4 linked regions of the Lonchura striata genome follow. The protein of the gene in region 1 purifies or fractionates together with the protein of each later gene. This does not show direct contact. Links are inferred from orthologs where the notes say so. Each region holds a gene or a part of one and is shown in the gene's direction. Other genes may lie near its edges. The genes, in order: STK4, MAP1B, RASSF3 and ras association domain-containing protein 6.

The links.
Region 2: the proteins of STK4 (region 1) and MAP1B purify together in Homo sapiens (affinity purification with mass spectrometry; 5 studies listed by BioGRID and IntAct, with this or other methods). This does not show direct contact. The link is inferred for Lonchura striata from reciprocal best matches to the Homo sapiens genes STK4 and MAP1B.
Region 3: the proteins of STK4 (region 1) and RASSF3 purify together in Homo sapiens (affinity purification with mass spectrometry; 5 studies listed by BioGRID and IntAct, with this or other methods). This does not show direct contact. The link is inferred for Lonchura striata from reciprocal best matches to the Homo sapiens genes STK4 and RASSF3.
Region 4: the proteins of STK4 (region 1) and ras association domain-containing protein 6 purify together in Homo sapiens (affinity purification with mass spectrometry; 5 studies listed by BioGRID and IntAct, counting the BioPlex papers as one, with this or other methods). This does not show direct contact. The link is inferred for Lonchura striata from reciprocal best matches to the Homo sapiens genes STK4 and RASSF6.

The regions. Positions count from the first base shown.
Region 1 is NC_134619.1:9,279,924-9,287,693, forward strand, and holds the start of STK4 (serine/threonine-protein kinase 4), read left to right. Parts: upstream 1-4,759; 5' UTR 4,760-4,838; coding exon 4,839-4,870; intron 4,871-7,327; coding exon 7,328-7,408; intron 7,409-7,770. Other genes in the region: TOMM34 (mitochondrial import receptor subunit TOM34), read right to left, coding at 1,320-1,418, 2,211-2,337, 2,977-3,121, 3,388-3,548, 4,125-4,277, 4,412-4,511, 4,580-4,694. UniProt on the Homo sapiens protein: Stress-activated, pro-apoptotic kinase which, following caspase-cleavage, enters the nucleus and induces chromatin condensation followed by internucleosomal DNA fragmentation.
Region 2 is NC_134642.1:15,334,166-15,341,308, reverse strand, and holds the start of MAP1B (microtubule-associated protein 1B), read left to right. Parts: upstream 1-4,142; 5' UTR 4,143-4,157; coding exon 4,158-4,335; intron 4,336-7,143. UniProt on the Homo sapiens protein: Facilitates tyrosination of alpha-tubulin in neuronal microtubules. Phosphorylated MAP1B is required for proper microtubule dynamics and plays a role in the cytoskeletal changes that accompany neuronal differentiation and neurite extension.
Region 3 is NC_134607.1:42,828,628-42,836,321, forward strand, and holds the start of RASSF3 (ras association domain-containing protein 3), read left to right. Parts: upstream 1-4,691; 5' UTR 4,692-4,763; coding exon 4,764-4,884; intron 4,885-7,694.
Region 4 is NC_134606.1:73,241,682-73,248,610, forward strand, and holds the start of ras association domain-containing protein 6, read left to right. Parts: upstream 1-3,917; 5' UTR 3,918-4,095; intron 4,096-6,929.

The DNA.
Region 1 (7,770 bases):
AAGGGCTAGCTTTTTCTTATTATCTGATCTTATTATTCTGTATTATGAGTTGGATTAGGTCCAGCATTGCCCGGCATCTTACTAGCTGAGGCAGAGTGCAAGGCTGAGCAATGGTTGGAAACCATGATGCAGTGCTGTGCTCTCCTTGGCATGCCTTTCCCAGCCCCAATGTCCCTGGAGCTGTAGGCTTTCTGGTTCTTTGAACTCTAATTTTAATGGCAACTATGAGCTGTGGTCACTGTCTGAAAGAGCAAGGCCCCTGTACAGTGCCTAAAATCCTCTGGGAAAGAGAGGAGACAGTATGAAATGATTAATCAAGCGTTCCCCTTCCCCTGTTCCATCCATCACAAAAAACACAGTCCTAGAATGAAAATAAACATGGCTTTAATGAGAATAGGTTTTAACAGTTCACAAAGTAATTCCAAGTATCTTTTTATCTACTATTTAAAATCAGTGCCAACAATATCAGACCAGGGGAAATTTAAACATGCATTGAAGTAGTAAGCCAGACCTCAGCTGGGGTGTTACTGCATATTTTCCTCCCTGTAACACCCCACAGCAACTGCTCCAAAAGGCACAGAGCTAAAGTGGTTTAAAAAAAGGAAAAAAAAAAAAAAACAGGACAAAACAAACCATTGCAAAATTCCCAAGCACCCAGAATCTGAAAGAACAGTGCACAGTGTAACAAGGCAGGCTTAACTTGCTGCTGTTTTCTTAAATGTGCAGAATAATTAAAGAAAGCTGCTACTGTAAACATCTGCCCAGCCACACTAAGCAGCAGAACCCAGCTGAGGGCCAGCAGGCATGAAGGGGGAGAGGGAACAAGCTTGGCCCTGTGCAAGTAACTGAGCCCCTGTCACATGAAGGGTATGTAGAGCTCTGGCAACTACAGTAGCTCTTGCAGCGACTTTTTCAGTAATAGCAGCACAAATGCAGCAAAACTGTCACCTGAATAAGGACTAAAACCCCTCTGTAGCTCTTCAGACAGGAACAGCCACTTCTGTGCATCTTAGCCAACATGTAAAGAGTCCCTGAGGCCAATAGTTAGAGGCAAGTTGACTTCAACCAGGAAAATTAACCTAAGTGCCTCTTGGGGAGGGGCATTAAAACTGTGCATGATCATAGAGCCAGCTGAATAGAGTTTGATGCAGATTATGTCTTAACAATCACTGTGCTGGTACAGAACCTCTTAGATCTCAGCAGCACTGGAAGAGAGATTTAACACCAATCCCGCATCGACTGGTCCCTGTATCAACAGCAGAAGGGAGAAAGCTTTTCTCTGCAGTGGAAAAGAAAGCTTTCCTTGTTGCTTGGTTACCCTAGGCTCTGTTCAGTTCTTGCAGTAATCTCAGTGCAGCTGTGTTCTTTGGTTCAGTTTTCAACAAGCTCTTGATGTCGGCAATACTTGATTTATAATCCTAGAAAGAGAATATTTTTTAAGGGGTAGTGCATTAAAAAGGCAGTCTAAGGCAGAACTACTACCCAGCAACAGAGGCAAAGACAGCACAGTTAAGCCTGTGCCTCCCTCCCTGTAACTGCTCAGCACTGGCATTGATGTAGCTGTTCTAAAACATGTTCAAACTAGGGCTGAGAAGATAATTTCATCACTCAAGTGCCTTCTGAGTCCAACACCAATGCAATAGGTACTCCAGTACTGACTCCAGCATTCCTCATGAGACAAGAAGATAAAAGCCCAGCACAACACTGGTCTCTGGTCACTGGTCCCTCTCCAGGGACAGGATCTGTGGGCAGAGCCTGAAGATGTGTCAGGGGAGGTTTGGGTATTAGGAAACGGTTCTTCACCCAGAGGATGGGTGGGCAGTGGAACAGGCTCCGCAGGGATGTGGTCACGGTCCCAAGCCTGACAGAGCCCAAGAAGTGTTTGCACAACTCTCGGGCCCAGGGTGTCATTGCTGGGGCTGGTGCTGTGCAGGGTGGGGAGCTGGACTCGAGGGTTCCTGTGGGCCCTTTCCAACTCAGCATTGTCTGTGATTCTCTGAAAAGCAGTTGCCTTCAGCATCTCTAAAACTGGACCTAATTCTGACAAGTTCATGAGATTCAAACAGCAAAGTCTGACTCTCAGTCCTTAAAGGTCTGATGGCAGAGGTTGCCTAACACAGAAACAAACCCTGAAGGGTATCCCTGGCTCTGATCATGCATCAACAGCCATCTAGTCCTAGCCTAAAGCCCTTCAGAAACTCCTGACTTACCTTCAGTTCTTTAAGTGCTTGAGCACGCCTGTATAGTGCCTTGACATTCTTAGGATCCAACTTCAGAGCTTCAGTGCAGTCCTGTGCTGCTTCCTTGTATTGCTTCAGGGTCAGGAAACAGAGAGCTCTGCAACACACACACCTGCTCAGAGACCTTTGGCTGAAAGCAGCATCCACTGCCACAACACACAGAGCAGCTGCCAGTGCAGCACAAAGCTGGGCTCCAAAACCATCCTCGTGTCTTATGCCATCTTAATCTTGAGCTCAGGTTTGTTTCATTTACAGGGAGGAAGAAAAGGAAATGGTTTTTGCAAAGAAATAAAAAGGAAGATGTTTAGAGCAACCTGCCCTAAAGCCAAAGAACCTGCACTTGCACTTTGAGGATGCAGGTTCCTGCCTCTGCCAGTGCAGCCCCTGCTCTGCTTGCTGCAACTGCCTTAGAAGCACTTTGAGTGTTTAAGAACAACAGTCTGCAGTTTGAGGTTTGTAAGAGAGCAGAGACCACTCAACATACTTGAGTCCTGTCAGACAAAGCAGTCAAGGGAGAAATCCCCTGGCAGCCCACAGGGGAGTGTCTCCAAGGGGTTCTGTACTACCTAATCAAAGAATGTATATTACAGGGGAGGCTGCACTTGGGATGAACCTGAGGGGGTAGTTTTGTTTTATTCATTAGTTTGGGAGCAAATATTAAACAGTTCTGCTAGGAAGTACCATGGTGGCTTTTATCTAGGGCCAAGAAATAGTTGGGCAAAGAGCTGAACAGTACCTGTTGGTGTAAGTTGCACATTCCTTGTTGAGCTCTAAACTCTCACTATACTTCTCAACTGCTTTTTTATGGTTTCCTTTCTTTACAAATTCATTTCCTTCTTCCTTAAGCATTCTAGCTCTCTCCATGTCAGCAGCAGTCTTGTCTGGAAATGGTGTGAAAGGATACACAACTCTATAAAACCAACAAGAATATCAAACATCACAGAAAACAAATATCCCCATGCCAGAGGCAAAACACAGAGACATCAAAGAAACCAGAATCAACTGAAAAGGCTCTGGCAGAACCAGGCTTGGGTTTCTCCAGGTCTCAGCCCAGGCTGCAAACACACCAAGCAGGTGTGGCAGCTGTCTTGTTCATCACCCTTGGGAGCTACAGGGCTCTCTGCCCAGCCCCAGGGCTCGTTCCCACCTCGTTCTCCCCGTGGTGCAGTTGCAGGAGGAGTGTTTGCCCCAGGGGCCTGGGCAGCAGGAATGCTCCACCTCGTCTGGGCAGAAACAGGCACTGTGGGGATTGGTGGGAGCTTCTGACGCCAGTTCATGCCATCCTTCTCCAGCAGGGCTTTAGTCATCCTGGAAGAGACAGCTGCCAGTCACCCTGGCTGTTGGCTGGCTGGGCCACGCAGTAGCCAGCCACATCACTTTTAACCTGGCTTGTGTATTTAAGAACAGCATCTGTCTGCTGATTTCTTTACATGCATCTCAGCTAGGTTTATTCTACAGACAGGACATTTGCAAAAAGATTATCTTCACACCAGCAGGGCTAAAAATACAACAGGACATGGGCTGGGGCTGTGACTGCTCAGGTGAGCAAGAGACATGCATTTCACTCCTTGGTCTGGCAAGCAGAGAGCACCAGAAAGAGAACAGGACTATAGCAGCCTGTAAACACAGCAAACATAGAGATGCTTAAAGGATAGGGTATGAACGTCAGTTCATTATTTCCTTTAAACCAGGCACTGGTCAAAGCAAAAACAGTCCCACAGCAATCATTCCCAGACCTCGACCTGAAAGGAGCTATAGGTACCAGCAGGCAGAGAGGGAGCATAGCCAGGCAGCAGGAACGAGCACGGATGGAGCAGCAGCACCCAGCTGCCGTACTCCCGAGCCTTTGGCTGCTCCCTCTGGTCACCGGGCAGCGCTCCTTACCTGTTGACTCCATCGTGTGCCGCCTGGACGGAGCAGTCCACCTGCAGCGCCGTCTTGTAGTCCACATAGGCCAGCGAGTACCTCTCCATCGCCTCGTACGCCGCTGCCCGCCGCAGGAGGGGCTTGATGCCGAACGGGACGAGCTGGAGGGCGCTGCGGCGGAGGGCAGAGCGCCCGCGGCGCCGTCAGCCGGCACGCCCGGGGCCGCCGCTGCTCCGCCCGCCCCGGCCGAGCGGGGAAGCGGCCGAGCGCTCCCTCCGGCTCCCTCCGGCCCCAACGCCGCTCACCTGGTGCAGTCGGCCACGCAGAGGCTGCAGGCACCGTCCTTGAGGTGGCAGGCGGCGCGGTTGGCCAGCAGCACGCTGCGCTCCTCGGCGCCGGCATCCCCTGCGCGGGGCACACGCCGTTCAGGCGGGGTTCGGAGGGCTGCCCCCGCCCGCCCGCCCCGACCCTACCTGCGGCTTCCAGCTGCGCCAGCGCCCGGGAGTACAGCTCGGCGGCCGGGCCGTACTGCCCGCGGCGGAACTCCTCGTTGCCGGCCCGGCGCAGCGCACCGGGGGACGCGGCCATCGCGCCGCCGCCGCGCCCGCGAAGCCGCGCCCCGCCCGCCGCAGCCGGGGCGGGCGCTCCCCGCCGGCATCCGGCGGCGGGCGGAAGCGGCGGAGCGGTGCCATGGAGCGGTGAGGGGCAGACCCGGCTCACCGACACGCCGCCATGGAGACGGTGCAGCTGCGGAACCCGCGCCGGTAAGCGCGGGGCGTGTCCCTGCCGGGACCGGGGATGCGCCGGCCCGGGTCACCCCCGCGGGGGCCGGGAGCGGGGCTGCGGGCGCGCCGGGCTCCGGCCCCCTCGGTCCTCCGGAGCCGCGGGGCCGGGGCAGCAGCCCGTGGCACCGGGCAGGTCGGTGCTGGGCAGCACCGGGAGCCCTGGGGAGGAGGCGCTGCCCGCGCTGCTGCGGGAGCTCCGCGGCCGTACGCGGTGTGCTGGCCCGTGCCACAGCGCTGACAAAGCCCCGTCACTTCTCCCCTCGCGTCTCTCCTTGGCTGAATTTCGTGCGGGTCTGTGCCCCCGGTGCCGTGTCCGGGCGCGGTGCCCGGCCCGGGCACACCGGGCACACCGAGCCCGACCCTCGGCGTTTCGGGGCGAAAGGAAGCCGTGGGTCGCCTGTCTCGGGCTGCCGGGCCGGGGCCGCGGGGCAGAGCTGGGGACCGGCGGCAGCTTGAGTGAAGTGTCAGTGTCAGAATCCTATCAGAGGCTCGCAGCTGGGCCCGGGGAGCGCTTCGGCAGCGAACAAAGGAAGCTGCTGGCGCTGGTCCCCAGTGGCACTGGCCCCCTTGGTTAAACAGTGATGTATGTGCTGTTAAAAAACAAAACAACCTTCGTTTTATTCTGGAATTGCTTATGCCGGTGTTTACAGGGCAGGTGATTAAGATTAGATCTGAATAATAACAGAGGTGAGATTGGGTTTGTGTTGCTGTTGCACCTGTAAAGCATCCAGGAGAACGGCAGAGTGTGTCAGGCAGCAGCTAGTGCACTCGATGGAGCAGGACAATGCAAAGTAATTGGGCTCTGGTCTGCAGTAGAAATTAGGCTGCTTGCTGCAAGCCCAGTAGTTTTCTGGTTGTTGTGTTTGGTATATGAAAAGTTGGTTTTTTTTCTTTCTTTATACTTGTAGAATTTAGGCCTCAAATAAGAAGGGTCTGCCTCTTGCGTCACCACATTTTGGGCTCCTTGGAAATGGTGGCTTGTGTGTTTTCTGGTGCATGTATTACTTGCTTTTCCCCTTTTCCCACACCTTCTTCCCTCTCTATTTTCACAGGGACAAGTAAATTCTGGTTAATGCTTATCTGAGCAGGGAAGCTAGCAGCTACTTTCAGTATTTCACCACTTCCTGAGTCTGCTTCTATATAATGTTTCCTCTGCTTCAGGAAGCCATTGTATGTGCTCCATGCGTGAGCTGCTCCTCCCATGTGGCTTTTGTGCATAAATATAATAGCCAAGGATCAATCAATGGTTTTTCGTTCTATTTCTGAAGAAATTGGGTAAAAAAAGTTATATATTTAGTATAAAAATTAATATTCCTGTAACTGGAGTCCTGATCTTTAGCAGCAGCTGTTAAGAGCTTTCAGGAGTAATTCGCAGTTGCAGGCAACCGCGTGTGTTTTACTTTAAACACCAGTCAGTGCTAAAAACTCTGAGACTCAAAATTTTAAGTTTCTGTGTTTAAAAAACTTGAATGAGATGGTTTCGGGAGTTTGGAGGGGGTTTTATTGGCTATTTTTTGGTTTTGTTTATTGTTGTTTCAGATTTTTTTTAGTTCATGTGAAAATGAAAGAGCACTTGTTTGTGGGCTGTTGGATACTCTTACCACTGACAATAAAATACTGTTTTCAGACTTTTTGGTTATGTAGTCCTTAGCTGTTTCAGGAGGTTTGATGAACAGCTCTCCAGCGTAGACTCAAACAAATATGATTGAGCTTCTTATTGCTTTATGCACGGAATCTCCCTAAAAGGTGTACTAGGGGAAGGGGGCCCACGTGAAGAATCACAGCACATGGCAGGTTTTTATTCCTAGAAATTATTTTAGCTGACTCTTATTAGCAATACTGTAGGAAGGATGGCATTAAGATCCTGAGAGTCATATACAGTTTCCTTTTTCCTGATAGAATCTTCCTAGTAAGTGTCCAGGCCTATGAAGTTAATATCTGAAGTTTTGATGATAAAAATGTACAGGTGAGAGTAGTATTGCTTCCTGCCTCCCAACAAATGTATTCCACACGTACTCTAATCATCAAGGAAGATGATGTTCCCTTTTTTTTGGTAGCTATCCTTCCATTCCAGTATTGATATTCTGCAGATATGTTCAATGGCTTCAAGACTGTGCCATGCTGAGATGTGACCACCAGCATATAGATCCTGAAACTGATTTCTGCCAAGAGGAGCTGTAGATTTGTGTGCCTGCTCACACTCTGTGCTTTGTAATTCCCAGTCCTTTTTGCCTATTGGGTGCTAATAATATCCAGTCTCCTCATCAGGTGAAATACTGGGAAAATCAGGTGAAATATAGGGAAATACTTCATAATCAATTTACTTCATGCCAAACCTTTTGGATGTTTAAGTGGTGCTATTTATTCTTCTGTTTCAGCAGAGCCCAATCTGCCATAAAATTAAATGTAATAATTTCTCTCTTTTTACCCATACAGGCAGCTGAAGAAGTTAGACGAAGACAGTTTAACCAAACAACCTGAAGAAGTATTTGATGTCCTGGAGAAGCTTGGAGAAGGGTATGTGTTGTGTTCCAGTGGGCTCAGTATGCATTTTTCTAGGAAAATGCATCTGTAATGGAGGTGTGTTCAGCAGACTCTGATGTTTCACTTTTGTCATAGTCCTGTTTCTGAAAGGTAGTTACTGACATAGTGGCATTGTTTGGTTAATAACAGAATAAAGAATTTGTTTCCCAAGAATGCAATAGCTTAATCCAAATATCAGGTTATCGGTCAGTAGTAGGGAGTTTAAAAGTTTGTGAAATATCCCAGCCAGGAGTTGGCAGAGCTCTCTGGGAATTTGAGAGATTTTGTGGTTCATCCCTGGTACATCTTGAGGGAGATCTTCCTGGTGGAGTGAACTTGTGACACTGTGCCCTTTG
Region 2 (7,143 bases), on another chromosome or scaffold:
AAAATTACTTTCAGAGGCCCCTTCCAACCAGCCATTCTGTGAAACTGTCATCCCAGGCCTAGGCTGGAAATTCTCCATCTCTAGAAGTTAGTCCTTCCTTAAGAAATCCTACAGATGTGAAGAACGCCCTTCATGACATACTGTGCAATCCTCAGACTGGCATTTCTCTCAATGAAGACACTTCAGTTTCTGTAAAGATCTTAAATTCAAAAAATCACAGCATATCCTGAGTTGGAAGGGATCCATGAGGATCATTGAAGCCCACATCCTGGCCCTTCACAGGTCACCCCAGGAATACACCATGTGCCTGAGTGCATTGTCCGAACACTTCTTGAACTCTGTCAGGCTGGTGCTGTGACCATTTCCCTGGGGAGCCTGTTCCAGTACCCAGCCACCCTCTGGGTGAAGAAACTTTTTTGAATACCCAGCCTAAACCTTCCCTAACACAACTTCATGCAATTCCCTTGGGTCTTGTCACTGGTCACCACAGAGATCAGTGTCTGTCCCCCATCATGAGGAAGCTGTAACTGCACTGAGATCTCCCCAGTCTTCTCCAGGCTGAACAGACCAAGTGACTTCAGCTGCTCCCTATAAGCAGCTCCCCTCAAGGATCTTCATCATCCTCATGGCCCTCCTTTGGATGCTCTCCAATAGTTTTGTATCTCACTTTTACTGTGGCACCCAGAACTGCCCCCAGCACTTGAGGTGAGGCCGCCCCAGGGCAGGGCAGAGCAGGACAATCCCCTCCCTTGTCCATCTGGCCATGCTGTGCCTGATGCCCCCAGGACACGGCTGGCCCTCCTGGCTGCCTGACTCAAATGCAACCCCAGGTCCACCTCCACGGTGCTGCTCACCAACCTCTTGTTCCCCACTCAGTATGTCAAGTGATCTGAAGCAATCCATATGGATACGTATTTCTTTTATGGTAGGGATGACACTTGACCTGAGACAAAGGGCCAGTCTAAAGGTTTGTACATCACTGAAACATCATCTAAAATTTGAAATTTGGACCTGAATGAAACTTGAATATTAGTGGGTAACAAATGGCACATACTACCAAGAAGCATGTTTTAAACTTCAAGCACTTTATTTAAACTGTGTCTTTTAAAAATACAGCATTGAAAAAATACAGCTTTGCAAATACTATTTGACCACATTCAGCTGTGGGACTCCAATTTGGTATTGAACATAATAAAACAACAAAATCAAACCAAGAAGATCAAAAGCCAGACAGGTGCAGATCTCAATCACTGTCTCTTTGAAACAGTAAGATATATCCCACAGTCCATGAATGGTGCAGTTTCTTCTACTGAAGGGGCATATCTATGTAATTTAGCTGCAGATAGGCAGGTGGTATCACTCTCAGACAGTGATTAGTGTCACAGGACACTAAGTCAGCTTTGTGCAGCATATCTCCACATTTCACTCAGCAGTGGACCTGATGCTCCATGTTGCAGAATATAAATTAGTTTCCAGATGATGACGAACTAATCTACCTGATTGAGATACTGACAGGGCAAGACACAGTGTGGAAAAGTGGCTATGGAGCTGGGACCCTGCAGCTTCCTCAGAGATATGTTCCAGAGCATAAAGCACCTTTCTTGTCTAGCTTCCATCTCTGATGAGGCAGCATAAGCTTATGAATAGACAAAGCCAGAGGTCGGCATCCTTTGAAGAGTTTACCACAAGACCATTTCTTTCCAAAGACAATCTTTTGCCCTTAGGGCTTTAATGGGTGATGCATCACCCATCACAAGACAGTTTGACTGTAACAGTTCATCTTTTATCATACCACTTTCTAACTGCATGTTATTTTACACTGCAATGTGAAATAGAGGACTACCTGAGCAGCCTATTTCATATGTAACTGTATCACCTACCTGTATGTAAGCATTTTATTCTCTGGTAAAATGCATTCTTTTTGGCTCTTGCTTTTCAAACTCACTGGCATCTTTCCAGCTATGGATGTTTCCATTTTTACTTAAAATAAGAAAGTGCTTAAAAGTGTATACAGTGTCTTTTGAGTACTGGTGTGCATTTCTCTATCACATTTAACCTGCTGTACTTGTGAGGCAAGTAACTATTTTACCTTTATGTCCAGGAACCAGCATCTGTCTGTTCTGCAACCAGTTGACAAGACCCCTTGGCGAGCTCCATCCATGCTTGAGAGACTAGCTATTCTTGCTGGTGATTGACATAAAGGCATGCCCAAAACTACAGACTGCAGTGACAGAAGCCTGAAGCTGGCATTCTCCAGTGGGTACCACATGGCAAGTCTTGAAGGTAACTATAATTATAATAAATTATTAGGAAGGGGTTCATATAGGAAAAGGCTATAGGGGATAGATATTATTTCTAAGTAGGCATCTACACCATCCTATGACAGGAAACAGCAAAGTCACAGTGGGGCCCAGATTAGCAGGGGTATTCCACGAGGAACACACTGCACCTTTGAATACCTTGCAAACCTTAAAAGTGCTGCTAGTTCTTCTGCACCTACACTATTGCATTTGTTCTATCAGCAGTGTCAGCTTCAGTGAAGAATGAGCACTGCTGCTCTTTACCACTGTGTCATCTCAGCCGCCTGACATGGCTGTGAAAATGCTTGTCTGCACTCCACAACCTTTAGAATAACGGCAGCTCAGGAAAAGTCTACTTTGGATGCAACATCCAAACACACCACACTGTGTAAGCCAAGACTCTGAGTGCTGTATTTATGCAGAGGAAGTGTTCATATCAAAACCATTAGGTGCTATAGACACTATGGACCAGCACTTATAATGATCCTGTTCTAACCTTTGTGGGTTGAAACTGTAGCCTCTAAGCTAGTAAGACAGAAAAAACTTAGTAGTGACAACCTGAAATGCATGTGAATTAGTCCACTGTGCCCTGGAACAAAATACAGAGAAGATGAGGCTGATATACTCGTTCATCCAGGCAAGCACTGTGCTCCTAAGCAGTAGGCAGAGAATCTGCACATCCAGCACTGTAAGAAGCTGCAGACAGAGGAGGTGTCTTCTCAGTCAGGGACAAGAGGTTATCTTAAAAAAAAAGCTATAAAAGTTTATATCCTTTCCTATGTCACAGTGAAATTTATCCCACATCACTTGAACCATATAAACAAGAGGCTTAAGTGTAAACGAGTGGCTTGGCTATGTCAGTAAAGTGAGAGGAACATCCCAGACAGATTTGACTTCTCCATCATTAGGAGCAAGTAACATACTTTTCAGAGGTTGCTATCACTGAGTATTGGGATGTAGATACTAATATCTATGAGAAAAGAAATTAAGCCTTTGGTTCTGTCATTGTATAAGTTTTCTGCTATCATTGCCCCATGGAGATGCTTGAGCCTGGTCAACATTACTTATTAAAGCTCTTGAATTTCTGCAGTTTTGAATAAGCTAAGACTACGGGCTTCAGCATGTTGTCCAAAACTAGTGTTTTTCTGGTGTCATATATCCGTGGGCATTGAATATGTGCAGAAGAACTATGTGTGAAGTATCTTATCAAATTAACTGCTTTTAAATTTAAAAAGTTAGCAAGAATATTTAGATTGCTGGGTGAGGGTGTGTTTCAGTATGACTCAAATTTTGCGGCAGTAGTACAGCAAGACGTAGGAGAGGACAACTGGCTTTGGGCAGTGGCACTGCTTTTTCATCCGGTTCTGGACCGCTGCAGGAGGCGCGATGCTGGCTTTGCCACATGAGCCCCGCAGGTCTGCCAGGCCATCACCTGCGGCTCCTCATCGCCCTGTTTTAAGGGACGGGCCTCGGGGTGACGGCCCGAACGGGCACGGGGAGCAAGGGACAAGAGGGGAGTGGGCTCGGGGGTCGCACGGCCGGGCCGGGAGCCAGGCGCGGGGCGCAGTCCTTGGCGTCCCCTCGGGGCGTTGTTCGCCCCCCGCGTCCTTCCTGCTTCCGGGGGCCGCCGCGGGGAGGATTTGCCGCAGATGACATCAGCCGTGGATGCTGGAAAGGCGGCGGCGGCGCGGAGGATGCGCCGGCTCCCCCCCTTCCTCCTCCTCCTCCTCACCAGGTCCCTGCCCTGCACCGTCTCCGTATAAAAGCGCCGCCGCCTCCCCACCCGCCCTCACTCCCTCCTTGCCGCCCGCGGAGCCGCCGCCGAGCTCAGCGCCCCGGAGCCGCGGGGCGGAGGCGATGGCCACCGTAGTGGTGGAAGTGGACTCGGAGCCCTCCTGCAGCATCCCCAACCCGACCTCCACCTCGCCCAGTCTCTCCCACCGCTTCCTAGACAGCAAGTTCTACCTGCTGGTGGTCATCGGCGAGCTGGTGACCGAGGAGCACCTGCGGCGGGCCATCACCAATATCGAGCGAGGTGAGGCGGCGGGAGCCGGGGTGCCGCAAGCAGCGCCGCGACACCCCCGCCGGCGCCCTGCCCCTCCCTGGGCGCGGCCGGGAGCCGGGATAGCCCCCGACATCATCCCGCCTAGCCGCCGTCTTCGGCTCTTTATTCCCCGGGGGTCCCGCCGCAATCGCCCACCCACCCATGCTCCGCCGCGGGGTGCGGGCGCTGCGGAAAGCCGCAGCGAGCCCCGTCCCCGCCATCGCTGGGCGGAGGGGCCGGCGGCAGCGCAGCGCCCGCCGCCGAGCCCGTCTGCCCGGAGACACCGGGGTGGGCGTGGCACGGTCCGCACTGCGGTCCCGGTGGCTGCTCGGGGCGGACAAAGGGCGGCTGGGGATGGGGTGGATGGGCTGGGCTGGGGCTGCGAGGCGGCTGCCGCCCGCAGTTCCCCGTCCCCCACCGCCGCGCTAAGCCCGCGGGTTCGGGGCGTTTTCCCTCTCGGCAGCAGAGGCTGCGCGGGCGGGAGCGCAGCCGCGCCTTTGTGTCTAACTTTGGGTGCTGGGACTTTTCTGTCGTCTGGACAATTTTTCAGGACCTAAGTTCTATATACGCGTATATATTCCAATAAAGAAAACCTTTATGAGTAACAAGGCTGTTACCCGAGGGCTCAGCCTCGTTATTGTCCGACTGCGGGCTCCTCTGACTCGGCGTTTATTTGTCCTTTTCTTAAGACGGCGATGCAGCGTGGTATTGCAAATGAAATGACAGTTTTATAAGTTTTCGTTGTGGTTTTTGATACAATAGATTTCAGTGTATATGCAGAGAGGAGAAAAAAAAAACAAAAACAAAAACAAAAAAAAAAAAAAAATAAACGGTATCAGTGGAATAAAGCATGAAGAAAATTATTGCCGGACCTTACAGTTACTTAAACTCAGTTGATAGCTGATTTTATAATATGTATTTTTTGTTCTGGGCTGGTGAAAACAAAGATTTATGGAACTGCCATTGTTAAGAGTGAAGAAGAGATCCCGGAACGAGGAATTGGTAGCAGCCTTGTCATGTAGGTGTGGTTCAGCAGTCCAGCTAGGACTTCATCTGTGTCTCTCTATTGTTGCTTTCTCAACCATTGTTGCTTTAGTTGCTTATTTCTCTGGATTCCTTTTCATTACAGTTTGAGGTAAAAGGCATCCTCATCTCAGCTAACTATTTCCATCATAAACTGTTCTATCTTTATTGCTACCATTGTCTCTTGGGGAGAGCTACTGAGGCAGGTGCTTTGTCATTCAGAGCTTCTTCAGCATCGCACTTCCTTAACTCTATCTAATTTTCAGTTGTGTCAGAAAAGAACAGGCTGCATTTTAATTAAATTGTCAAAGATTATAAAGCAAATTGGTAAAATTTACTCCCTCAAGACAACTAATATCCTCCCTCTGAAGAAATGCTCTCCAGTCCCTTCTTGAATCTCCTATTGTACAGTCACTGCTGCATAGCTCAATTACTGCTATCTCCTGCCACTAAGCATAACACCCACTTACAGGTTTAGGTGTTCAGAGGGAGTGTTTGACCTTTTAATTAATCATTTTGGATTAGAAGTGACCTTGATGCTTCTAGTATTAGACCATTTGATTGAGATTTTTGCCTCCTAAGAAAACTCCTTGGTGAAATTTTTAGGTACATTTTTCTGGATAAATAAAAGTGGGAGTCTGACGCTTTGTCTATGTGAGGCAATTGCAGGCTCAGCTAATAATTTTCTCTTTGGAAAGTCTGCTGTAGTCTGGGGAAAAAAATACTTCTTGCTGCCTTTATTCTCAATAGAGCTTTAAATGCATTTTGGTTCTCCATAACTCTGCCTTACTGTCTTCTCTGGTACATCTCCTGAGTACCATCACTGAAAACTGTGGATTCATGCGCCAAACTGCAGAGCAACGTGTCAAAGAAAACATCTGCTGATAACACATCAGTGGTGTGATGCTACGCAACCTGGTGGAATGCAGAGTCATTTCTTAATATATCATGGGGAGGGAATGGTGTGGCAAGACGCATTTTCAGTAATTACATTTTGGATGTGACTTTGCTAAGGGGGCAATTCTCCAACAACCCACAGTCCACCAAAAGAGAAGAGGGGAGTGAAGAAGAAGCTTCAAGATTTTTCCACTGATTTAGCAGATGCTACTGGGTGTGCCCTCCCTGCTGTCTTATTAGTCCTGTGTCTAGTGGCATTGCATTTCTAAGACTGCAGAAAGAAGGAAATAGCTCCAGTTCAGCCATGTTTATAGCAGATATGTCCACATTTCTAAGCCATCATTGGATTGACCTTGGATTTTAGTTCCATGTTTATCTTTGTTCCACCGAAAACCTGATTTAGTGGTATCATTCATTTAATACATTTTACTCCGCTATAATACGCATGCATAATTTTTGCATCCAGATTGCTGAATCATGCAGTTGCATATTTTAGATAGTCTACCCAAATTCCACCTTCAGCTTCTAGGACTACTGCGTGCATAGGGCATAAAGGCTTTTATCCCCTATTTTTTTTCCCCCTATTTATTTTGTGTTGAGTCCTGTATTTTGGACATTGCCTGGCTCAATCAGGCAATGATTGAGCAATCTTGACTACATCTAATCAGCACCTTATCCCTACAGCAAATTAGGATCGCATCTAAAGCAGCTAGGGATGGTGGATGAGTCCTTTCATTAGCAGTGTTGATAAATCATAGTTCATGTCAACTGACCTCTAGAAAGGATTGTAGTTTCTCTGCCCAAGCTTGGTGTCATAGGCCAGGGAATTGTTTTTCTTCAAGCTTCTTGAAGTTCAGCACTCATTCATTCAGTGTATTT
Region 3 (7,694 bases), on another chromosome or scaffold:
CTACTAATATAATATCTAATGCAAAGCTAAAATTAACACAAATCTGTTATTTTCACATTACACTATTGTTCTCTTCATCTGGCTTTATAATCTTTTATTCAGCTTTAGTTTTGAAGCACAAACCTTCAGACATGCAGTAAACCTGTAACCAAACCACGGTAAAGAGGAGCAAGAGCAGCACATTGTACCAGCAGCAGTCTCCAGGAAATAGTGCATTACCTTCCTGATGCTCAGCTGCACCAGCACAGCAACAGCAATGCCCTCCCTCACACACTTCCATCACAGTACTGGTCCTACCTGCCTCTGGAAAAAAACATAAAGCAAATTAGAACAAATTTCACTGATTGAAGTATTTGAAATAAAACAGGGAATGACTGTACAGTACAATGGATGATAGTGAAAAGTATCAAGAATAAATATTGCTGAAATACACAGAGAGACATTCTTTTCCATGTAACAATGCAGGAAGACATTTATTTACAGAGTAATATATTGTTGAATTAAACAAGAGCTAATCAAATTTGACCTAATGTGCTTTGGAACAGTGATTTTCTTCCTCAAAATCCAGGATGTGTTTCATTGGAGCTATTGCTAAGAAGAAAGCTTCTTACTCCTTACATCTTAAGGGGAGAAATCAAATTATTCTCCAAAAAGAGTAATTAATAGATCATTAAATCTGATAACAGATGTATTTCACATCAGTTTGAATACTACAGTTCTTCAATTACTACCTTTCAAAAGGAGGCAAGGTTTTGGAAGTTGCAGATTGCCAATCACTGTTTAATTTTTAGTCCTTTCTTTTTGTGTACATGCAGCTGCTGAGAATTAAAAGTTTTTTTAGAAAGCTCACAAATATAGCTGCTTATTCGGATTTGGGAGGGATGAGCAGCTGAGCTGGAAATTGGAAGTATTGTGCTAGTTTCAACTGTTTTAAAGTCAAATGCAGCATGTCTTTGTTTCTTTTCTTTCATTAGTTGTGTTCTTTATTAATTTCCTAGCAACCGCATAGCCTTGTCACACATCATGATGTTATAAATTATGTTTTGTTATGAAATCAGTGATGCTGTGTCGTGGTATTGCTGAATCCCAGTGACTAGTTAGACAGGGCCCTTTTTTTGATGGTTGGATAAAAATTTACAGCTGAACAGAATTTAATTCAAGGTCCATCAATATGGGAAATATCCTTGTGGAGGCTTGACTTCTCCATACTGAACTGTGCCTGCATGTGTAGCATATAGCATAGTGACATATAATCCACATTGGGACAGGTTGGAAAGACACTGCCTTGTTTTCCAAGTATATTATTGCCTGCAAAGAAACCAAAACCTCATTTTGAGCCTAGATAATAGGGATATTTGCCAATGTAGACAAGCAGATACTGCTTAATACTCTCAGCTTTTCCTACACATAGTTCTTATTGTGAACAGGTGTGTGGGGATCTTTGTTCCTGAAACCAGACTAAATGGAGAAGTTCCAGTTGAAGTCAAAGCAAATGAAATCCTTTACTCATCCCAGCAATTTGCTGCCTAAGAGCTGGGGGGAGTGGAAATGGCAGTAAATCCTCACTGAGGAAAAATGCTCTTCTGCTCCAGAGCAGAGACTTCTGCATCTGCCTCACATCTAGCACCACTGTGTGTGCTCCTCCTGATTATCAGACTTCATTTTTATGGTATCTCAGCACTCCTGTGTTGCTCTAAAAAATGCTTGTTAGCAGAGAATTTGCTTTTAAAATACATGAACTCATCAGACCCCAAGAGAATATTTCCAGTAAAGCACTGCTGGTTGTTTACAGTTCATTTAAGAGTGTTTTATTGTAGCAATGAAGGTTAGTTTGGGGTATTTTTAGTTCTTTCAGCTCTGTCAGTGAGTATGGAAGGGCTGCAGTAAGGCAGGCACCAGGTCACCGTGTATCCCCCTCTGCTTAGAGCTGGTCTGTTGAGCTCTGTAGGTCAGGGTAGACAGGGACATGTCTAAACTGATGGATGTTTCATGAGCACCCCTTTGTTTTCCAGCTGTTGGGCACAGGTTGCCATGCAGAAAGTGGGTTGGGAGGCAGACACAGCTGGGCAGTGTGGTGAACCCAGCTCTCCTGACTAGGTGGTGACCTGCCACGCACCCCAGGCACCACACAGACGGAGGCTCTGTGGGCATTTCTGCCCTGCACAGGGGCCCGCTGGGCTCTGACCTCTGCACTGCTGTGGGGAGGTAGGAGGTCAGAGGCTGCTTGCATAGCAGAGGGGACAGCTGCTCACCTTCCTTCCCAGGCAGGTGGGACAGCAATGAAGGCAGCAGTCATTCCCTCCCCTCCTCCAGATGAGCAGAGTGTGACCTGGGGGTTGAAGTCTGTTGTAGGAAAAAGCCTTACGTGGCTTTTTTCCTGAAACAGAGGCAGTGATCAAGAGTCTGAGTCTGCTCACATTTCAGGTCCTTTTGTCCTCCTTGGAAAGTATCTCTGTGCTGTCTCTCTGTCAGAGTAGATTGAAAGGTACATATGCAGCCCTGTGTAGTACCTTTCTAATACAGTGAATTCTTAACCTTAATAATACATCAGTGTAATGTGAGGAATCAGAGTTGTCTTAGGAGGAGCTCTGTGGACTTTCCTGAGTCCAGCTGAGAGCAGTGCATTCCTGTGCACAGCACAGTGGCTCATATTCTAAAGCTAGCAGTTCAGGTTGAGAGGAACTCCCGTCACCATCACACACCCCGATCCCTGAGCTGTGGGAGGCAGGCTGTTCATTAGCTTTGTATTTTGGCCTAACTATGGCCTAAAAATGTAAAGTGATGTAGAAGTTGTGAAATTACTATATTGCAACTACCACTGCTGTTCAGTTTAATTTGAATTCAGGTCTGTGTTCTCATCTGTATTACGTGGTTTGTTGCACAGTATAATTGCCAGATTCATCCCAGTGAAGTCTTTGGATAAAGTAAGATCCGTTTGCTTTAAAGTAATACACAGTGTTTTATGTTCTTGCCTATTTTTGTTTCACTAAATATTGTCAGGTATAAACATCCACAGGTTTGTTACCATCATCAACAAAGTCAATTTATCCCCTTACGTTGTTCCAACTGGGTAAATTTTAAAGCCTCATAAAATTCCAGTATAAAGATACTATATCAGCATTTTCTGTTAAGTGAAAAAAATATTCCTGTCCCCTTCATATCCTGCTAAAGGAGATATATATATATATTCTTTGACAAATCGCAAAACTAGGCAATTTATTACATATTTACTTAGGGTGTGAAATTGTTCAGGGTTTTTTATGCTACTTTGATTTTCATTCAATTTTATATGTAAAAATTTCAGAAAAAAAAGAAGTCATTGTTTGATCTTGTATTTCACAGATGCCAGTACACACTCAGACTCCTATTTCCTAAGAAAAGCAATCTATCTGTCAGGCCTTTAACTCTGCTCCTTTCTTGTTCTGAATTGGGTGACAGACCTCCTGCTTTGCTAAAACTGTCACTTTGCTACTAAATTCCTTCTGGTATGACAGGGTGGAGCTCAAATGAGACAAAATCCAGTGGTCTGTGTCCTGCCTTCTGTTCTTTTCATTGACACTGGCTAAAGAATTGTGACAGATACAGTATAAATAGAAATGTTTATTTGTTTTTAGAGACATACTGACAACAGGAAATGCAATCAGAAACCAGTAGCTCAGTCCTGACTAGCAGCAGTATGTTTAGAAAGTCAGATGTAAAAAATGGAGTTAAATACTTCACATATTTTAGTGTAGAAAAATACACTGTGAATTCTGGAAGATTTATTAACTGTATGCTGTGAACATAGCTGGTGTAACAAAACCCTTACTTTCTGTAGTTTAAAGGTTGATACAAAAGGACCTTTGTTTTGTAATGACATTAGTCTTGATTTTCCAGGGATTTCTGCCATTCAGATCTAGAAGAAGAAAAAAAAAATAAAATCAAATGTGAGAAGCTGGACACATAGTCAAGGAAATCATACCATCCTTGGGAAATTGTTACATAGTCTTACTGTTTAAAAGTGTATTTTAGAAGTTGTGGTAAATTTTGCAGGGGGCATTGCAGTAAATAGCATCTCTGGATTTACAATTTAATATGCACTATGATTGAAGCAGGTGTAGGCTATGTATTGAGATACTGTTAATTTCTTTGTATAGTGATATATTAATAGATGCTCAATTTTTAAGTAAATTGTGTCAGTGAATGATTTGACTCTTACATTTGCCTTAAACTCCGTTAAGAGGAAAGTCTCATTTTGAACAATGTGTGTATCCATAGAAATCTCTGTTAAATTTGCTGCTCAGAACCTTCTGCTGCTCAGAAGAAAGTCTTTGAGAGACTCTCTTTACAGAGGAAATATATTGATTTACATTAAGGGATTTTGAAAGACTACTTGTCACTATCAGTTTTGATGTTTATTTGTTTTCAGCCTGGAAAAGGTAGCTACAGATGAAAAAAGGAGCCCTTCAAAGCCTTTCCTGCAGAAAACATGTCTTAACATCATTGGAAACACAGTAACAGGTTAAGACTCCAGAGCATTGGTCTTTCTTTAGCTGAAGCATCTATTAAAATAGCTGCTTCTTGTAATAAAGAGGGAGGTCTGGAGGGCTCTGAGCGGAGTGACGGAGAGGGTGGGGATTTAGGACTAACAGGTGGTCCTGAGACGTGCTGGCTGACGCTGAGCTCAGAGCCAGCGCACTCACTGTGGGTGTTCGTGGGCTCTCCTCTCTCCTCTGGATACATGTGCCTCTTGTTCCTGGGGTAGCAGTGGAGCCCTTTCAGCCATGGCAGTGAGAAATGATCTGAACAAAACCATCAGGAGGATAGCACGTTTCTTTTACTGGTTTCCTAAATCATTGAGCAGTTCGAGGAGAAGGACGGTAAAACTTCTCTGGAAATCTCCGGGTAAGTCTGCTGCTATTTTTCCCCAGATTTTTTCCTGCTAAACGAAACAAAACAAAAACAACAAAACAAACAAACAAACAAAAAACAAAAAAAGAGGGGAAAAAAAAAAATCTGTTTTCTTTGAACTGGTTAATTTTTCCAGGCCAGAATTGTTTGCATTTTTTCATTCTTGGAGGGTCATTAGGCAAAACTGTCAAAATATTCTGGTAAAGCAATAGAAGGTTCATCAGGCTTGTTCTGGCAAAGAGTTCTTTTGCAGCTGCATAATTTATTCACATCACTGATATTTGGTATCTTGTTTTTGCCATGTTTCTCCCTTAGGTATGTATATAGGAGCTCTGATATGACTCAAATAATTGCCTGAAAGTTATTTAGAATTGCCTTGAGCTGTTCATTGATCTAGAAGGCTGTGCAAAGACTGAACTGACTAAAGACTTTAACTCATTGTACCAGTGTTCACACAAAGTGATGGGCAGCTTAGAGGGGCTTATGCTCAGCAGTGATGCACTTGCCTGCTCTTCCATTTTATCAGCTGAAATGCAGTACAGCTCAGCTGACCAGTTATTAAAGGCATTGTTCCTCACAGCATCTCAGTGTTCTGATCATTGTCCAAGCCTGGCAGAAAACTGTTTGCATCTCTCAGATTAACATTCTCATAAACGCCCTTACAGCCCAAATACCGTTTTGTCCCTTTAGCACGGTCTGTGAAGGCTGGGGCTGAGGCATGTTCTCAGGGGGTTGGAAGAATGTGCACTGCCATAGTGGGGGAAGCCAAGTTCTTTATGTTCTTCTTAAGGGACTAATGGTACAAGGTCAGATTTCTTTTGACTGGGACTCTTTGGAACAGAATGGTGAACTTGTCAATTCTGCAACATTAATAACAAGTTTGTATTTGCATGGCACAGACTTTGGGTCAGTTCCACAGCTGAGCAGCTTAGTGTTGTACTTGAGACAACAGATCTGTGACTCTTGAAAGGGGATGTGCCATCTGAAATCTGTCACAGTAAGGGTGTTAGGACCTAAATGACACATGACTTCTTCCCAAAGGAATCCACAGATTTCAAATATTCACAAGGAAATCTCAGGACATTGAAGTCTGTATGAAACTTTCCTTGATGAATCTAGAGTTTTGAACCTTTCTTGGAATACTGGTAATCTCAGGTCCTCCTAATACATGCAAATCATCCTGAGTCCTCCTAACACATCAGATCATTCCTGCATCTCCTTTATTAATTATTGATAGTAAAAACTATCAATAACTTCTATGGAGAGCTTTAATTGCTAGCTGGGTTACACATGTGTGAAAATGTTTGCATGCCAGTTATCTTTTACCCCAGTATTGCAAAAAAATAATTGTATCTGTGACTTGTAACAAGAAAAGAGGTGAACTCTGAGTGCTTTAAAAATAATGCTTTTTTGTGGGTTGCCTTCCTTCTCCCTCTACATCTGGTGGTTTGAATAAAATGTATCTTTTTACGATCATTTTTAGTGTATGCTTTAGCACCTCTTTAGAACTGAATTTGTGAATATGTCTGAAGTGCCCTAGAAGTCCTTTGCTACCAGTGCAATGAGATATTTGTCACAAAATTGTGGGTTTGATGGAAATGTGTCAATTCAGTGGAAGGTTGAGTCCAAGCAGAAAAAATCTCAGTGTTAAAATTCAACTCAAATTTCTTGTAAGTTTACAGAACCCATTCTTATAAACTGGAAGCTGAAGTCCTGATGCTCCTCTCACAGGGGAGGAGACACAGCTCCTGATTTCTCTTTAGTCTGTACAAAGACAGTAAGTTACACTTGTTAGTTAAACCTTAGCTACCCTGACGTCCACAAACATTTCTGCATTTTTCTTCAGTGTCCAGAATTTCCCTTTAGTTTTTGGTGAATTACAAAATTACCCATTTCCTCAGCTTCCTCGACTCTGAAACATCACAATTTGGTAATTCTTTACCAAGGTGCCCTTCTGTCCTTCTGAGAGAGTTATTCAACTCAAAAGCCTACGCTGAGAAGTACTGACAATCTACCCTGAGCAGTATTGACCATCTGCCCTGATCAGAATTGACTACCATCCCTTGGTACACAGAGATTTACCCTTGCTTCCTAGAATCCAACAACTTTTTGCTGTCTTTTCCTGGTAGGTTTTACTCCAGGACTGGCACTTACAGAATTTTTCATTCAGGATGAGCTAGGACCCAGGATGACCCAGTAGAACAATTCTGTGTCGCTAGGCTTGCCCCATGGATTAATAACTAGCTGGCAATTAAAGCTTTCAGTAATACTTACCGATAATTTTTAGCCACATGTGCTTTAATAATAAAGTAACATTTTAACAACAACAAAATAGAAAATTTCGTTATTTAGACATGTTAGGAAGGTCAGAGATTATGTTCTCTGCTATCTCTTAGATTTTGGGTGATCTCATTCATCATGTAAACCAAGAGATGGGCACTGTGCCTCTGCATAGTACCCTCAGACTTGCTGCTTTTGTTCTGCTTCTATCACTCCATGTCTCAAGATGCCTTGTCCTCTCTGCTTGACCCAGAAACAAAATCTGCTGAAGCACAAAATTATTTTTTAAGTATAACAATGAATTTAGTATTGTTGTAGGTCACTGTGTTCAGAAAGGTGCATTTGACATAATTTTAGAAAGAGCTGTCAAAGCATGATTAGGTTGCTGTTCCTAAAAATGTTTAGCTTTTCAGCCTGTCCTTGGATGGGCACTTTGGGATTAGTGGCCACAGACTTTGGCCTACAGCTAATGTGCTCCTTGCAAAGCTCTAAAAGAAGGAAGAAAATTTGTGAGCATTCTTCAG
Region 4 (6,929 bases), on another chromosome or scaffold:
TCAGCGTGTTTTGCTGCAGGGACAAACTGTCCTTCTTGTACAGAAGCTTTGATGTGTAACACCTTTCAAATTGAAAATGCATATTTATACCTCTTCTAAATGAGAAAAAAATGACACTTTGGAAGGATGTCCCAGCTGTAGCAGGCAAGTCTGCCCTTCCAGGAACGATGATAACAATTTCGGTTTGGGAATCTGAATTTTTCTCAGAACTCTAGGAAGTGACTGTTCCATTGAGGGGAGTTCTGGAGAGACATTTTTAAATGAAATAGAAAATAGGAGACAGTCCACATGATGACTCACCTGCCTTAAGAGAAGATTGAAGAAAACTACTTGCAAATGGGAAAAGAGAGTCAGACAATGCAGTCTCATGCCCTCAACTGGTCATTTCAGAGGGGTGATGGAGCATAAAAGGATCCTGTAATGCATTGGTGTCAGGCTGTTGTGTGGGATTGGGAGGGTCTTGATAGCAGCTGTCAAAAGTAAGGCAGACCAAGGGTTTTGTATCTTAAAGACAGAATAATCCAGATATATACCATGACCTACAGGGGAAAAAAAAAAAAAAGGAGAAATTATGTTTTGTGGATTTAAGAAAAATGCACATCTGAAAATCTTGAGTGTGACCAAGTTACAGTTTTTAAGGGCTGTGCAAGGCGGCTGGGTGTGATGAGGCAGTGATTTGACTCCTGCCTGAGCACTAGTGGGAGTGACAAGCTGTATTACTGTAGCTCTTTGCCACAGGGAAGTCCCCTCTGGTTCTGTCCTCTTTGATATTTTGTAGCTCCAGGCAGTAAAAAATCCTCATGTACCTCTGTGAAGTCCTGTAATATTAAATGGATGATTTCATGGGTGTGCACAGGCAATGACAGCCACGAGGCATGACTAAAGGTGTTTCAGATGCTTGGGTCAGACCTGCCCATCCAGCAGTGGCTCATGGGGATAATAACAGAGACCTGCAAGCTGCTTTCCAGGTAGGCAAAGGTCAGCATTTGGTAAGTTCCAGTTCTTGATGTGATATTTAAAACTTTAGTACATGGGCTGCTGCCAACTTCAGCTCTGCTTCTTTTCTGTTCCTTTAAAACTCATGGACCCACCAAATGGTGTGTGTGAAGGATTCTGGCCTATGACAGTGCATAAGCCTTTGTGTGTGTTTCATTTTTCTGATGTATTTTAATATCTGAGCTAGTATCTGTTACCCAGTTTCTAGTTTCTGTGCTTATCAGTTGTGGCTCCAGAACATGTACTGCTGTTGGCACTTGGTTGTGATGACAGAAAATAATCTTGCTAAGGAGTGAGAGGCCCTCTGCAGCCTAAATTCAGGTTTTAATTTCTTGATTTGTTCCTATGATCATGCCGCCACTCTGGTACCATTTGTAATGAGAATGGAAGAATTGATCACAGGGGGGTTTTTGAGTTAAATTCAGGTCTTTTCAGATGAGGCTCTCCTTTTGCATTAGAGTAGCTAGCTCAGAAAATCCCGGAAGAATTTTTTGTGCTTGAAGTTAATGAGTTGTCTAGAAATAAGTGTTTGCAAACAGGATTAGGGATTTTCCTTCTTACTGTGAAACAAAGGAATATTTTGTGTTTATCAAAGTCCTTCCACTGAAGTGTGTGTGTGATGCTGCCATGGCAGCCTGCTTATTTTGATTGTCTACTACAAAAATAGAACAGGAATCTCTGTTTTTCCTCTTAGAGGTTCTCTCCTATCTTTAGCAGTGTGTTTGTTAATGGTTTGAGGCCAAGTTATGAAGTAGCTTAACTCCAATTTCCAATTACTTATTAACCTAAAATTACTTAGTTATTAATAATGCAAGGAGCAGAAATGTAACACAGTTTGTAAAGACTCCAGGATCATCACATTTCCTGCCTGTTCTAAAGAAATTATTGTTACCCTTTCACTCAGGAGGTAAAACAGTATTACCAAGTTGTGACTTGTTCATAGGTTTCCAGGCCATGCAAACTATGCTGATTATGAAAGACAAAAAAATAATTGTCTCTGTGCATTGATTATTTAATTTCTATGAAAGGGATCAAAGCCTTCTGTTTCTTGGAGTTGACAGTAAAAGTAGTTTCTGCTCTGTGACCCTGAGGACCTGATTCCCCTCCCCATACCTGTTCCCAGCCTGCACTGACCAGTCCTTCCCAATTACTCAGCAGGTAATTTTCTGTGACTCAGATGAGGTCAAAACTTGCCCATTGGTAGGAAGAGTTCAAGGGTGAGAGAGAGAACTGGAAACAAACCAGAGCCACGTTGCCCAGGCCAAGGTAAGGACCAACACATCTGCTTTTATGAAAATGGGAACTGTAGGTTTTTATTACAATTAGAAATTTCTTTGCTTTATGGTAATAATTTCTTACTGAGACATCTTTGCATGAATCTAAGTACTTGAAACATTGGGCTTTCAAAACTTGGTTATAAGCTTTAAGGAAAAAAAAAAAAAGGAAAAAGTAAAAAGCTATCCCTAGAAATCTGAGGTTTTGTTTGTTTTTTAAGTTGAAAAATTTGGGGTCAGGATAAAGTCTGATTTATCCTTGCTGGGGAAGGGTTAACATCACATTTTGCTGTTGCAAGCTAATAGTGTTGTCTTCAGTCATAAAAATACTTGAGTACCTCCTGGTACCAAACAGCTTCATGGTGTGAGTGTCCAGCAGGGTGACAGACTTGTCAAAGACAGATATTTGACATTACCCTGGGTTAGAGACTCGAAGGAGTCAGGCTGCTATTGCTGTCTGCTCCAGTTCTCTGATCCCAGAGCGCCAGGCAGCGTGCTCAAATATCTGAAGCCAGGACAGGAAAAATCAAACCTCTGGTTTTCCAGCAGCTGGGAAGCTGTGTGGGTTTGTGCTCAACTGTCCCACTTGAGATGGAGCAGCTCCAGAGACTGAGCTTGGCACGAAGCTCTGAGTCCCAGCACAGAGCTGCGATGCTCTTATGAACTGAGTAAAAAAACCTTGCATGTTGCTTCCCTCCTGTTTTGAGTGGCTCTCCATGTTGTAAATACCAATTAAATCCTTGTGTGAAGGATTTTTTTCAAGGTGCAAAGAAAGAAACTGCAATACAAACTTTAATCCCAAACACCAGGCTTGCTGTGGCGTGTGTTTGGCAGCGTGTCCGTCTCTGGAGAGAAGGATACCACAGGATAGTATGTGATCAGGAATCAAACATTTGAGTATTTGAGTCTGTTCTGCCTCTCCCTAACATCAAATTATATAAAGCAAAAGGAACTTGATATGAATCAGTGGAATAAGATGGGTGTGAAGGCAAATTCAGGTTCAGCATTTTTCCTGCGCTTCTCTGTGGCCCAATAACTTCTTGTTTTGGGCTTGATCTGGTGAATAAATTATTTGCTGGAAATAGATGGGCAAACGTAGGAATGGTGAAGGTGTGTCCTGGTTCAGTTCTTTTTTCTAGCTTAAGCATCTGCTTATGCAATTTACTGCTGAGCAAATAAAGTAAGAGGCCATGCTTTCCTTCTTACAGATGCAGCTTTTGCCCAGTAATATTCATAAGGGCATTACACAGGTCAGCAAAAATAACTGTGTGGGGTTAAGGGATCAAGCTGTGCGGTCACTATTTGTCAGAATGTTCTAAATCTGTGTAACGATCTGATGGATTGTGCCACTTATTCCCCCAAACACCGAAGATGGGCATGTATCTGAGGGAAAGCATACTTTATCCAATGGATTAGGAAGCAGAAGAGGTTAAAGTGCTTTGGGCACAGGATGTTTCTGGCGAGTTACCAGCTGATTCCGGGGAGTCGGCAGGTTGCCTCCCTTGCTCAAGCGAGCGATTAAAGCGTTAACCGGAGCCTCCTGGAGGTGGAACCGCGGCTAAGGGCGGGCTCCTGTCCGCGCTTGGAGTAAGCAAAGTGGGATAGGTAAATATTCCCGACGTGCACCGAGCTGCGGGGAGTGTCCTGTGGCCTCCCAGCCTTCCCGGTTCGTTAAGCCAAGTAGGAATGAGCAGCTCGGTGGGTCCCGGGGAGCGGCAGCGGAGGTGGCGGTGCGCCCTGGCCGTGCTGCCATGCCTTTCTGGGGGCTCGGGGGAAGGCGTGTGAAACTCCTGCCGCGCTCCTCCTGCTCGCACCGCCCGGCCAGGTGAGCCAAGGACGGCCGGGGCTGGCCTCTCGCTGTGTGCGCTGCTCTGTCGGGGGAAGCCAGGTCCCTCGCAGCCGCCCGGAACTCCAGGCACACTCTCTGGGGTCATTCCCTGCGGGGGGAAGGAGAAATGCTCGGCAGAAGTTCCTCAAGGCTTGGGGAGAGCCGGCTGAGGTGGGGCGGGCGGTCGCAGGTCGCGCCCTGCGTTCGGTGCGGCGGAGATTCGGCAGCGACATCGGCGACCTTGTGCGCTCTTTTCGGCGGCTAGGAAGGGCTTGTGCCGGTGGGCTGCGAGCAGAAAGTCACTTCTCCTAAAACGGGGTAGCAGAGTTTGGAAGGGATGTGTGCGAGCCCCGCTCTAGCGACGCCCGAGGGGAGGGAGCGGGTCCGCGCCTCCTGCCTTGTGCCTGGGAAAGTTAAGGGGCCGTATTCACATAATCCAATTTACTGCTGTTTCCTTCAAATCCCATTCCGAGCCTGCCTGAGCAGAGGGCTTGTGCTGTGATTTGTACTCAAGGAGTGCTCTTAATGCTCTGTACTGAGCAGCTAATTATTAAAATAAGGTGTGAAGAAATCTGAAAGCTCAAGAAAAAAAACAAAGCCCTTTTTTTTAGTGGGGAAAAGACATTTGTTCAAAGTAAGTACTTTGTTTTAATTACCGCCTTTTTCTATGGTGGTAAGGACATCTAACTTAAACAAAAATTACAAAAAAGGGGAACGTGAAGTCCCGTAATTAGAGTATGTGACTAGTAAAATTATTGTGCTGATACTGAGTTTATCTATCTGAACAAATCTTAAATTCATCTTTATAGCAACCAATCAGGATCGAACAATTTGCTGAATACCAGGCACTTGTGAGTTTAGAAGATGACTCAGCTGGACATGATGTTGTGCCTATGTATAAATTACCCCGTGTGTGTAGTTGATAGCTGAGTTAACAGGAAGCTGAGCCTTGTGCTTTCTGTAAAAGAAATGGAAGAGTTTCAGAGTTTTACCCTATCCTGACTTTCTGTGGGTTGGGAAGAGCTTTGGGGAGTGCTGGGTTAAAATACCTAGGGCTCTTTGCTGAGGTTTGGGGTTTTGGTTTCTCTAGCACTGGCAAAAGCTCTGCGTAGTGCACTGCACTCTGCAGGCCCTGTCTCCATAGATGGATGCACCAGAAAGCACATCCAGGCTGTTCCAGGAGCTGAGGTGCTGCCTTGCTGTTCCTGCTTGGCTCAGCTCTGCATCCCAGGTGTCCCTCTCCTTCCAGTCCTCCTCTGCAGCCGCCTGTCCTTCTCTAAAAATCGGTTTAGCCATTTGCTCTTAACTTCTGCTCTGTCATTCCTGCACTCTACTGTCCCTGGTCTGTCCCCTTAAGTAAGTGACTTAAATAGCACTATACTGAATAAAAGGAGCAAGTCCTCCTATCTGCTTCTGCACGGACACTTGGACATTTTCTTTGGGGAAAAAAACACATTTCGGGTAAGATATGAATCTTACAGACAAGTACAGCTCATTACCTTTGTGAAATTTGTCTTGTGCCCTGACGTGTTGATGCTCTTGCAGTTTTGAAATGTGCACTGGTCTGTTTTCCCTTTGCTTTTCCTAGACTACTCCAATAGTTGCAGTCCTCCTCTAGAAATGCTCAGTTTTCAGCTCTCCCAGTTTTCATTTCCTCCTGACTTTCCCTTTGCTTTCCCTCATGATGTATTTCAGGCTTCAGTCAGTATTCCTCCAAGCAAATCTCAGGCCAGCAGTTTAGTCCAACCAAGCTCCCACTTTCCAGGTGTAACCTATCTGAGGAAATTCTGCCCTTCTAGTCCAGTTTAACATAATGGTAAAAACACCTGTGTGATACCAAGTAAAACAGGAGATGGCTTTGAATAAATGACACAGGCAGATATGGTTGGAGTGGCTGGAAAATTAGCATGGTTTGGTTAGTTCAAATCAAAGGGAGCAGTGGAGAAAGCATTTAACTTTTGCTTGCTTCCTCAAAAGGACTACAGGGAAGTGGCATGGAAAGCAGCAAGATTGCAGGAGGTGATGGGAAATCTAACAGCTTTGTGGATTTAGGGAGTGCCAGTACAAACATCCTGGCATCTGTTGTGTCAGGTTCTGGTGTTGGGGAAGTCGCTGCATGGTGGCAACCCACAGGTTTGGGCCTTGGCTAAAAATAAGCTACAGTGTGCCCATGGGAAGGGTCCAGGGAGAAGAGGTTCATCTCTGGAGTGAGCTGGTGGTGTGGAAGTGTTTGGTACAAGGCTGATAAGCACAGCAGATCACATAACTGAGGAGAACATAGTGAGAGCTGTGCTTCTCCCCCAGCCATAGGAGAGAAGGCTTTTTCCTGGGTGTTGCAGCCATGATGGAGAGAAAGAGAAAGGTGTCGGTGAAGAATTATCCCCATCACCACCCACTCTTCCAATTCACTTTATTTTCAGCACTTTAATGGCACCCAGCTGATTGAAAATCCGTTCAAGGTGTTTAAGGCAAATAATTTACTAGGAGCCACCTGCTGCATATGGAAAGAGTGTTCATCTCTTTTGTGTGTGTGTAAAGGTCACTTCTCTCCATGGGCAGAGATCAGCTTTTTCTTTCAGATGAATCATTTTAAGGCCAAATAGTGTAGAAAAGAGTGCATCCACAAGCAGTGAAGCAGTGCTGGAGCTTGCTGGTGTCACTACTCTACAGTTGGTAGAGGTGACTTGGCTATTCACTGCTCTTAACGTGTTGTTTCCTGACAGGTGGGAGGAAGCCCAAGTGTACATTCATTTATTCAGGTGCCAAAGTACATAAACTCCTCTGCATCTTGTAAAAATGGCTTGAAATTGCACTGACACAGGCAGCTGCTT